Linked DNA regions of Arabidopsis thaliana. The protein of the gene in region 2 binds, or shares a complex with, the protein of the main gene of each other region. Each region holds a gene or a part of one and is shown on either strand. Other genes may lie near its edges. A codon is read from its position in the direction of its gene.

Region 1 (6,069 bases), on a different chromosome or scaffold from region 2:
CTCGACACCGGAGCTAGATTATGGGATTCCATACGCTCCCACAAAAACCGAAAGAATGGAGATCAGACCGGAAAGCCCTGCAGATAGCGTTAGAGGAAACGAGAATGCATTGCCAAATCCTCAGGATATAAATAAAGAAACCACAGATGCCACCAATAATCAGTCACAGAGAGAGCAGGTTGGTGATTCGGTAAGCCAAAAAAAATATTTTCTTGGGGAGACAAAAACTTCTTTCGTTTCTCAACAGTTTGGATGATCACAAAATGCAGGTAGAAGAAGCAAAACCTAAGGAAACAGATTCCACAGAGGCTTCCCAGGAGAAACTACAGGTAGCTGCTAATGGACAATATTCAATCAGTTCTTCAGACTTTGAGAGACAGCAAAGGAAAATAATTGAGCTTTGGGCAGCATGCAATGTACCACTGGTTCACAGAACCTACTTCTTTTTGCTCTTCAAAGGTGATCCTTCAGACTATGTTTATATGGAAGTTGAACTTCGAAGGCTATCTTTTCTGAAGCAGACGATATCTAATGACATGGAAACATCAAGGTATTTTTCTGCAACACCTTTTTAACGAGTCTCATCAATATCAATCATATACTCATAAGTATGCTAACCAATTCCTTTGGTGTCTAATCAGGATGCAAACAGTGAAGGCACTCACACGCGAGAAGGAATGGATTTCCAAACAATTACCAAAGAAGTTTCCATGGAACCAAAGAATAGGGCTTTACCAAAAATGGGGCGTGGAGGTGAACTCAAAGCAGAGAAGCCTGCAAGTGGCGCACAAGCTGTGGACCAACACCCAAGATATGGACCACATAAAAGAAAGTGCTTCTCTTGTGGCTAAGCTGCTTGGATTTGTTGAGCCAAGTCGAATGCCGAAGGAAATGTTTGGCCTCAGCTTGTTACCTAGAACCGAAAACGTAAAATCATCTGGCTGGAGATTTACCAAATCATTCTCTGCTATACGCTTGACCAGATGATAACCAGAGCACAATTATAAAACATAAACAAGACAGAAGTCTCCAAACACTGATAGTTAAGTTGTGAAAGGCTTGAATGTAAGATAAGTCAAGTTCTGCTTGTACCTGATTGCGAAAGAATCCAAAATTGTAGCCCTTATGTTATAGTTTAGATCAAGGAAAAGGGTGTGCCAAGAACGTTAATTTTTTTGTGTTCATTTATAAACACTAACTTAGAGAGAGAATTTACAAAACAAAGAGAATCTCGCAAGCTCAGACATGCTACATATGAGTATATTATGATGCAAGAACAGAGCCTTCAGTGATTTTCCACCCTGACTTGGACCAGAAAACTTCGTATCTTGTTGTGTAGGTTCTGACATCAGTAGCATTGTTTTCTGGATGAACCAAATCAGATAGACAAGCAGACTCCTCCAGAGTTGCTTCCACCAGAGCACGGGTTCCATCTGCTGAGACTGTCACACTGTCAACAGATAGTTTCAACAGTGTATAATCATAAACCAACCCAAGCTGCGCAGTTTCAGCTGCTCTGTCAGTCCAAATCTTCAGCATTCGCCCATCCAAAACCTATAAATAACAGAATCAAACAAGGCACCAGACTATAATCATGTCCAACAGTTTTCACACAATTGATTGAATTGTAGATTTATTCCCTCACCTCTGGTAACATTTCTATGCGGTGATCAGGCCCAAAAGCCAGAGACTTAATCTTCTGCCACTTGGATACTATATTCTCTGCAGTCCTAGCATCCATTCTGGGAAGTGCTTCTGAATCGTCAGCTCTGACTGACCCTAAATCGAAAAGAAAAAAATCAAGGAAAGAAAAGTTGGACAAAGCCACACTAAGGCAATCTCTAATCCTACGTTATTCTAAACAGAAATGTTGAGAGTGAAATTTACATTTCTGTCTACAGTTTGATCAAAAAATTCAAGCAGCATAATTAGTGAAATTTACTCAGCAACTTGTTAATCTTGGTACAACTTTTGGGACATGTATTAAGTGGGAACTATGTTCTTAGCTCACAAAACAAGCATATTTTGAGCAATGCAGATATATGAAAATTGCATCATTTAATCATACCTATGGTAGCGACATCAGATTCCATAGAAGAAACCATATCCTTGCGTTGAAAAGATGAGCTGCTTTTAAGAAAATACTTCTGGCTGAACAGTGAAATCAGTCCAATTGCCACACCAGCAGCTAGGATCTTCACACTTGCCTCCTTTAACATATCAGCAACGGACATTTCAACAGTAGTTTCATCAACGCTACTCTCTGAGACCCCAGCTCGAATTGCATAATCATTAGTTTCAAAGTTTTCAGAGGGTCTTACAGCTTCTGCAATAAAGACACCAGGCTCACCATCACGGCCTACATTGTTACCAACAGGATCTACACTAAACACTGTCTCTTGCACATCCTTGGGTTCAGCCGAGTTTCTATCTGTATAGCGGGAAGGAAAAACTTTCTGCAGTGCCTGCATAGCACTAGCTTTCACATGCTCGGCTCCAATCCTTGCCATAGCTGCAGCAGCAGCTAAAGGAGAACCCTGAACTACCTCCACTCTTTCCAAGTAACTCAAAACCATAGGATCATCATAGTAGTCCCCGAGTTTAAATTTTTTATCTTTGGTGTCTCTGAACCTAGGAAAGACAACCCCTGCCAACCAGGTTTCCAACAATTTGCATAGTCCAGGGAGATCATCATTGTCATCACGATTTGAATTCTCCAAAACAAACTCCACAATAGCTGGATTCCTATATTGTGAATCCTCACTGTCTAAGCCCAACCACATACGGCATTCATCAACTTTGCCTATAAGCAGTGCACAGAGTCCCCTTTCTAGACCGAAGTCTATCTCCCAATTATTCCGTGTATCATACAACATCGCAGGAATCTCCATAGCCATTACCTTAGCCTGCTGAAGTTGCTGGAATTGCTTATCAGCATCCTGTAAAAGGTGTGGCTTCTTACCAATAAAAGCTTGAGCCACAAGAGCAAGTGCAACTTCGTAAACTTCAAATGACTCTGCTGGAATATTGCTTGGGGTAGCTACAAAAAGATCAACCTACCACACAACATACATTAAAATGAGAAACCTAAAGTTATATCATGCTAAAGAAATTAAAAAAAGGTATCTAAACTGTATACCTGCTCAGCAGCTGTCATTCGTAAAAACGCCTCATTCATAAACTTCTCACGGGTCAAACCCCCAACAAGAGCTGATGCTCCACCTCCTCCAACAGACCACAAAATATTCCGCACACCGCTTAAACCATTTAGTCTTTTCGCAGCGTAATCATCACCAAGCGGTAAGCCAAGTAGCTCCAAGACATAACGCGGAGTGATCTCTTCCAAAGTCTCATCAATTTGTGCACGTAAATCCGGTGCAAGGCTACTTGCTCCTTCCTCCTACACAAGACTCAATAACAAAGTATCAAATCAAGAAAGTTCTTATAAAGCCAACGCTCGTCAAATTACCAAAGCAAGTCAAACTACCTGTAAAAGCTTCAAAGCTTCCTCAACAAACTCATAACCAGTTATAAAATCAGGTGGATCCAATGCCATAGCATCCCTCGAGACATCGAGAAACGCAAGCGCCATAACTAAAACCACATCTTGCTTAAACGACTTAGGCAACCTCTCCTTAAGCAGAGCCTCACCAACCCGAAGAACTATCTCAGTCTCACCACCTTCTTGCAATACACAGAGAGCACCAGGAACCTTCACTAGATAAAAGTTCCTTCCTTTATCCAATTCATGAAATTAAAACGAAGAAACTTTATTATTCCGAAATCGAAATTACCTTATCCCAAGGAACATCAGTGATGACTGTAGCTTCTTCATCATCAAGAAGACCTTCATTGTACTCTCTTCTAGACCGAGGATTAGACAGAGTTTCGCAAGCAGCTTGAAGAATCTGTCTCCGGCTGATTAAAGCGTCGTCGCTGAAACCGAATTGCGGCGGTTTCGAAACCCTAGCTTCGAATGCTCTTCTGATTCCATCGGTTAAGAAATGTGTTTGAGCTCCTAATACCTGGTAGAAATCAATGGGGATGGGGACGTGGCGTTCGGGACGATCAATAGATGGTGGCGGAGAGACGAGAGTGGCGGTGGTGGTGGCGGTGGCGAAGGAGGAGGAGGAGGAATCGGAGGTGAAATTGAAGTCGGAGAGAAGACGGTCGGCCCATTTGCTGGCGGAGCAGATAGTTGTAGAGGTGTTGTGGCTACGTCGGAGCTTTGTCGTCGCCGGTGGTAATCGGCATAATTGGAATGGGGAGAGACCAATGCCGACGTGACTCAGAGCTTCCATGGGAGTGTCTTTTTAGGCTACTACAAAAACTTTGTTCTGTTTTACATATTGAAGAGACTGTTTGGTCGTCTAGGGTTTATGGAATTTTGATTTTGAGTAGTATAAGTTAAATCAAAAAACATCACCAGCTACTGAAAAAAATAAAAAACAATCTATGATGTTACAGTCGCCACGGACTTTATGATGTTAAATCGTCTAAATAATCTATTCCACCTAAGAACCGTTGGAGTTGCCTTCATTTTACACATATAGAGCAACAGTAAACCAATGACTTAATTCTTGACTACTTTAAAGTTTAAACCCACAAAACCCCATCAATTCCCTCTCTTTTCTTAACATCCAACTGAAATGTGTAAAATTCGAAACTATTATGACATGTAAATGTAAAAGCAAACAGAGCCAATGAATCCTATAGCCAAGCAAAATCTTGTTGAAATCAAGACAAATTGCTTATAATTGTATTCTCCTTAATGCAGAACAGTAATCCATTTCAGTTTACATAGCAAGAGGAGTGTCACATAAAATTTGGACAATACTAACTTTCGAAATAGATACACTAATGTTGGAGCAGAGCTTCGTTACAATATTTTTTAAAGTTGACAGCCTCGTCGGTCAGGAAGTCACTGCAAAAAAGTAAAATTTTAAATGTTCAGAAGGAGAATTAGTTAAATAAGACATCTAAGAAAGAGTCCATAGAGACTAACCACAGTCGCTCAGCCATGCGTCCCACTTCCCATCTTGGACTCCATGGGTACTCAGTGAGGAGATTCGATTTCACTGGCACACTCGATTGGTTTAAATGCTGCATATAAAAAGCTTGTCAATTTTTATACCTAAATAAATAAAGAGAAAGTCGAAGCCTTCTACTTAGTTCGTTTACAAATAGTTTTGATACCTGACAACTTTGCAGCATCAGAGTTGGTTGCTGCTTCGGAAATTGAGTTGAAAAGAAGAAATGAACCTACAGCAAAGCCAAAAACCCAATAATCCACTGCTACATATTTTTGTGAAATTGAGATTTCTCTAGAAGACAAGTATGAAAATCCACTTTGGCAAAGATTGAATAGAACTTTTTAAACAAGGCTTGAATAGTGATAGAATAATTACCATGAAAGTAAATTGTCCAGAGGCATTAAGGAATGTAGCCTTACGGCAAAAGGTCTAGCAAGAAAAACAAATAAGAAAGTTAAGAAGCTCGGAAATAGTTCTAAATATATGTCAAGGCGTGCGAAGAAATGCTTACAGGATCGGCTTCAAGAGGTCTTCCCAGATTAAGACTTAATGCCTCAATAAAACTCCTCCTTAAATCAATTGCAGCAACAGCTTCATGGATCTAGAAATTAAGGTAAATAAGGCACTCGTACTCAGGAAATTAAGAAGATTTAGTTTAACTGACCTGTCTCTCAAGTGTTTCTTCAAGATGGGGAAGATATTCAGCCAAGCACCTTTGAAATAGAAATGTAAGTATTACTGATTAATACATGTATGGTTTGCAGGTATAGTGAACTGTGTGTACATCTGTAACTAACTTACATCCCGTCCATCCATGGAGAAAGTTTAACATCCTCAACAGAGAATAGCGATTTTAAATCATAATATGATACTAATTTCAAACGAGGTGCTGACGGTGCTGCTTCATATTTCCGAAGAATCGGGTATACTACCTGGATCCGCAACAAGTTTCTCAAGAAGATGCCAGCAATTTTAACAGAGTGAAGAAAAGGATAAAATTATAAGAACGAAGAGAAAACCTGAAGATAAATCTTCT
Region 2 (4,393 bases):
CTACAGTTCAAAATAGTAGTTCATATCTCAGACTATATACATAAAAAGAAAATAGAGAGAGATCAATGGGATCATTACTTACTTGATGAAGAGTTTGAGACCTAATTCAGCTGAGTTTTTCTTCATGACACTCCAAGACTTCACTACAAGAGCCTCTTGCTCTTCTGTGAACACAATCTTTCCTTCACTCTCCATAATATTTCACAACCTCTAAATGATTTAAAGTATACAACTCTCTGTTTTGTAGATCTTACTCCAATTATGAAAAGTATCCTATATATAGGTTTTGATAAAAGACCCTTTTGTGTTACCGAAGAGACAGTTCTTGATAAGCAAGTTTAAGATAAAGTTGCTTGGTTAAAAAGTGAAACCATGTGCTCTGTACTGGTAATGGAACATAGTTTGTAATGGTAGGCTTGACCAATTATTAGTCAAAACACTAAAGAAAAGTCTTTTAGATCTCTTTATCTCATTAATTTACTTATTTATGTATTGGCCAACCACACCAAGTGGTATAAGTTGGGATACACTGAATCTATTGATCAAATTGGCAGAACAGAGATTATACTACTCAAATGAATCTCTCCCTCATCCAATTTATTTGCACAACTATGAACAAAACTTGTGAGAGTTATGTAGCACCATGTGGCTTTCATATCTAAGAGGTAAGAAAAGGTTGAAACTTTACACACTGAATGTCAGGCAATGAACATTACAGAGGAGGGTGTTTAATTTCTTTCAAACTCAACCGTATCCGTAAGTTACATCGCGTTTCGCTACAACAGAGTCAAATGGTATTTCGACTCTTTCCTTAACAAGGCACCGTGCTTCTCCATCTTCAATCACAAGAACTTTCCCTGGTGGACATTGGTTAGGTGTTCTCTTCCCTCTGGTAGCTCGGTGCGGGAGAAGTCCAAAAAGGTTCAAGGAAGCGCCTCTTTTCCTCATCTCTGGACCATATCCTGATGCAGACAATAGAGAGATAACACCGATGATTGGAAGCACGATCTTTGCGACAGAGCCTAAGAAGCGAATAACCCCATGACTCGAACCTCCAGATCCTCCGTTGGGACTTTTCGCCTCTGCCTCGTTCCTCACATGTCCTGAGCCGAACCCATTCGCATCCGATTTCTTCTTCGAAGGTAAGTGAGATAGGTAACCATTATTATTATCTAAACCAAGGGAGAGAGGAGGATGGACAGGATAAGGAGGAAGTAAAAGATCATTCTCATAATCAACTCTTTCACCAGCAAAAGTCGTAGTCTCACGTAACACTTCAAAATCTTTCCCTTTGTACTCCTTAAGCTTCTCAAGCAACATTTTCCTACTGTAATCAATCTCAGAGAGAGCCAGTTGCTTCTCATATTGTTGTCTTTGCCTTAGATTCTGTTCACCACAAACCAAAAACCATCCCCACATTAACCACCACCAAGACTTGAAGCAATTCAGACATTATAGACCAGACTTGAAGCAAAATTCAGACTCAGTTTCAGTTAAAACCAGAACCTAACACTTTCAATGTTCAATACTACACTAAAAGCCAGAAACTTGATGAGAAGCAGAGGAATTTTTTAGGGTTTGGTTCAAACCTGTAAAGAAGCAATTCAGACATTATAGACCAGACTTGAAGCAAATTCAGACTCAATTTCAGTTAAAACCAGAACCTAACACTTTCAATGTCCAATACTACACTAAAAGCCAGAAACTTGATGAGAAGCAGAGGAAATTTTTAGGGTTTGGTTCAAACCTGTAAAGAAGCAAGCTGAGACTCAAGAGCTTCAAGAGCATCACGAATACGCAAAAGCCGTTCAGCTTCTGCTTCATCTACATCCTCAGAGCTGATTGAGTCAAAATCCTTGTCTTGATTCCCAATAATCTCGCTTTTTCTTCCTTCTCCGGGAGAAAGATCCTCGTTTCCATCGCCGTTGTCGCTGACGGTGGTACTGGAGTTATCGATACAATCGCTGATCTTGAGTCTGAGCTCGGTGGCTCTGGCTAAAATTAACCCGATGCCTTCTTCGTCTTCCATCGCAGAGATTGAGGAAAAGAATTTGGGGGTGGAGAAATTAGGGTTAGGGTTTTTGTAAGGTAGTGGTGGTGGGGAAGAGAAGAGAGACAAGTAATTTGGAGTGTTTGGAGTGGATTTGTTTTGTGGTTGGCTTAACTCAGATTTTCAGATTTGTTTCTGCTGCTTTCCCGGTTTTAATCAACGGCCACAAAAAATCAACAAATTTTTATTGAATTTATTTAAATTTGGGGAAAAAATGAAAAAGAACCATAAGAAATTTGGAAGAGGCCAATTTTGGACTCTAACAAAGATGACAAATCTGACATATCATTCTACATAAATAAAATAAAAGAATCTGTGTACTAAAATATAGACTTCTATGTCAGAAAAAACGTAAATTTTAAGTTATTATTTTTTACCGTCTAGATTTATTATTTATTATAAATTATAAAAATTATCGTAGAATCGTTTTTGTAACAATTCTTTTTCTTTGAACTATGGTTAGCATTTTTTTGTTTGTCAACGCCGAAGTCAACTGATCGGTTTACCGGAATTGTATGTTCATAATATTAACCAGATGACGTCATATAGTTCATAAATATGGTCATGCAATACATGTACTTCGTGTAGCTCAAGATACAATATTATACTTGGTATATATGACAGCGTAATTCTCTATATTTCGTGTAGTTAGCCATCTTTTTTCCTTTTATAAAAGATAACAAAGTAATTGAAAATGAATATGTTTTTTCCTTTTTTGGCTCAACAACAATAATTATCATTAAACAACAGAGTTTTACAACTTGTCTAATTCCACAAACGATTTTACCCAATTTGGCACTATAGAATACAACTTAGGATCATAATTCTCAAGAGAAAGAGATTCCTTTGCTATCCTATCTGCCACTCCATTGCCTCCACGATGCATGAACACAAACTTTGTTTCCTCAAAATGCTGAAGCAAGAACTTGATGTCTTGTATAATAGGGTCCAGAGTAGGCATATCATCGTTATCAACAAGAATAGACACCAATTGTTGGGAATCAGATTCAAAGATTACCTTTCGGTAGTTGAGTCGAGAGAGTGACAACACCGCCCAACGCAACGCTTCAGCCTCAGTAACCAAGGCGGATTGAGCCTTTGGTATAGCCCTTGCACCCATCCAAAGCACGTTCTTGTCGGAGTTTCTAAGCACCCAGCAAATGCCACACTTGTTGCATTCTGCATTCCAAACTCCATCTGAGTTACACTTAACCCACCCATGTGGGAGTTGCTTCCACTTGATCACTTGCTTCTCAGAGCTCTCTATGAGAAATGTATATGTTTAAAATGAATATGTCTGAAAATGAATATTTTTAAAATGTAGTTTGAGATGGTTTAAAAATATTAGTTAGAAATATTTTAATTTAAAATAAGACATTAAAAGAAGTATTCAAGTTAAATTACATTAAAATTATTAAATAACACTAAAAATACATTATATTGATGAGAGACACAAAAGTGAACCAAAAATAATAAAATTATATTAGTGAGAGATTCAATAGGTATCTCACCAAACAAAATTTTTTAGGGGATGCATTCAATAAAAAAATTACAACCAGAAAAAGTGAAAAACTAAGGTTAGCCAATTTTTCAGATTGCGGGACACTCTCTCACCGTCACAACAAAAACCTCATACCATCTCAAATATATAACGCATATGTACAAGAGATTCATATCCATGAATTAGGTACGATCCACCTACGTTTAGTTAAAAATTTACACCTCGAGGCACTGAGAGAAGCCTGAGTTCATAGGCAGCTTCAAATATGATCCACTATAAGTCTATAACCATTATCCTATGTAAACTCCGAAACTGATTGAAATTTTGTAAGTAACGATGCTTGACCCCTTCTTTCAGAACTGAAGAGGGTTAGGTAAGGTCACTGACAAATTAAGCAGAGGGGATTGGGTTTAGAGCTATAAATATCCGGGTAACACACTTTATTTGGACAAAAAGGGTGTTATTGGGAGGTGAAGAAGGATAAGTGTTCATTTCCGCTCAATGGCTTCCGCTGGCAAGTTTAAATCTAGTAAGGTGGTTTGGCTGTTTCTGTAACTTTCGTCTATTCTAGCACGCTTCCCGGAAGAGCAACTTGTGTCTTCCGACTTCCCTGACTCCAAAGCTTGATCGAGCCTGGACGTCCATCCTGTATTAAAGAGTTTGCTTTGTAAGATTACCGGTAAGTCTCCAACCTAATGATGTGAAGTTTCAAGATTTACTGCTTGTACCACAATCCGAAGACTGACCAACAGCTTCCTTGGAATTCTGGGAACTATAAAAATCAGATGCTCGTTCTATGCCGTTTGATCTGTATGGAGTAATGTTGTGGATGCCAAGTTGCA

What was found.
Region 1: the proteins of PDV2 (region 2) and ARC6 are in contact, whole or in part, in a crystal structure (PDB 5GTB), measured with the Arabidopsis thaliana proteins. Residues at the interface, in NP_028242.1 of Arabidopsis thaliana: Glu287 (codon at 810), Arg288 (codon at 807), Val289 (codon at 804), Glu290 (codon at 801), Ile291 (codon at 798), Pro292 (codon at 795), Phe293 (codon at 792), Asp294 (codon at 789), Ala298 (codon at 777), Lys299 (codon at 774), Arg300 (codon at 771), Asp301 (codon at 768), Val302 (codon at 765), Thr303 (codon at 762), Tyr304 (codon at 759), Gly305 (codon at 756), Tyr306 (codon at 753), Gly307 (codon at 750); in NP_199063.1 of Arabidopsis thaliana: Trp686 (codon at 1,705), Gln687 (codon at 1,702), Lys690 (codon at 1,693), Phe694 (codon at 1,681), Arg710 (codon at 1,542), Met711 (codon at 1,539), Ile714 (codon at 1,530), Trp715 (codon at 1,527), Arg718 (codon at 1,518), Glu721 (codon at 1,509), Thr722 (codon at 1,506), Leu725 (codon at 1,497), Leu727 (codon at 1,491), Tyr729 (codon at 1,485), Tyr731 (codon at 1,479), Glu753 (codon at 1,413), Leu756 (codon at 1,404), Glu758 (codon at 1,398), Ala760 (codon at 1,392), Leu762 (codon at 1,386), Asp764 (codon at 1,380), Val766 (codon at 1,374), His767 (codon at 1,371), Asn770 (codon at 1,362), Ala772 (codon at 1,356), Thr773 (codon at 1,353), Asp774 (codon at 1,350), Arg776 (codon at 1,344), Tyr778 (codon at 1,338), Thr780 (codon at 1,332).

Annotation. Positions count from the first base shown.
Region 1 is NC_003076.8:16,983,527-16,989,595, reverse strand, and holds ARC6 (Chaperone DnaJ-domain superfamily protein), read right to left. Parts: upstream 4,501-6,069; 5' UTR 4,302-4,500; coding exon 3,795-4,301; intron 3,713-3,794; coding exon 3,488-3,712; intron 3,401-3,487; coding exon 3,140-3,400; intron 3,057-3,139; coding exon 2,069-3,056; intron 1,780-2,068; coding exon 1,646-1,779; coding exon of another isoform or gene 1,634-1,645; exon of another isoform or gene 1,555-1,633; coding exon 1,264-1,554; 3' UTR 988-1,263; downstream 1-987. Other genes in the region: AT5G42490 (ATP binding microtubule motor family protein), read left to right, coding at 1-190, 270-550, 642-987; AT5G42470 (BRCA1-A complex subunit BRE-like protein), read right to left, coding at 4,858-4,924, 5,006-5,103, 5,197-5,262, 5,409-5,462, 5,545-5,634, 5,698-5,746, 5,835-5,965, 6,053-6,069. UniProt on the Arabidopsis thaliana protein: Component of the plastid division machinery consisting in a binary fission accomplished by the simultaneous constriction of the FtsZ ring on the stromal side of the inner envelope membrane, and the ARC5 ring on the cytosolic side of the outer envelope membrane.
Region 2 is NC_003071.7:6,983,328-6,987,720, forward strand, and holds PDV2 (plastid division2), read right to left. Parts: upstream 2,294-4,393; 5' UTR 2,030-2,293; coding exon 1,748-2,029; exon of another isoform or gene 1,665-1,747; intron 1,590-1,664; exon of another isoform or gene 1,420-1,589; coding exon of another isoform or gene 1,387-1,419; coding exon 745-1,386; 3' UTR 519-744; downstream 1-518. Other genes in the region: HB1 (hemoglobin 1), read right to left, coding at 83-195; ARI2 (RING/U-box superfamily protein), read right to left, coding at 4,040-4,197, 4,280-4,393. UniProt on the Arabidopsis thaliana protein: Component of the plastid division machinery consisting in a binary fission accomplished by the simultaneous constriction of the FtsZ ring on the stromal side of the inner envelope membrane, and the ARC5/DRP5B ring on the cytosolic side of the outer envelope membrane.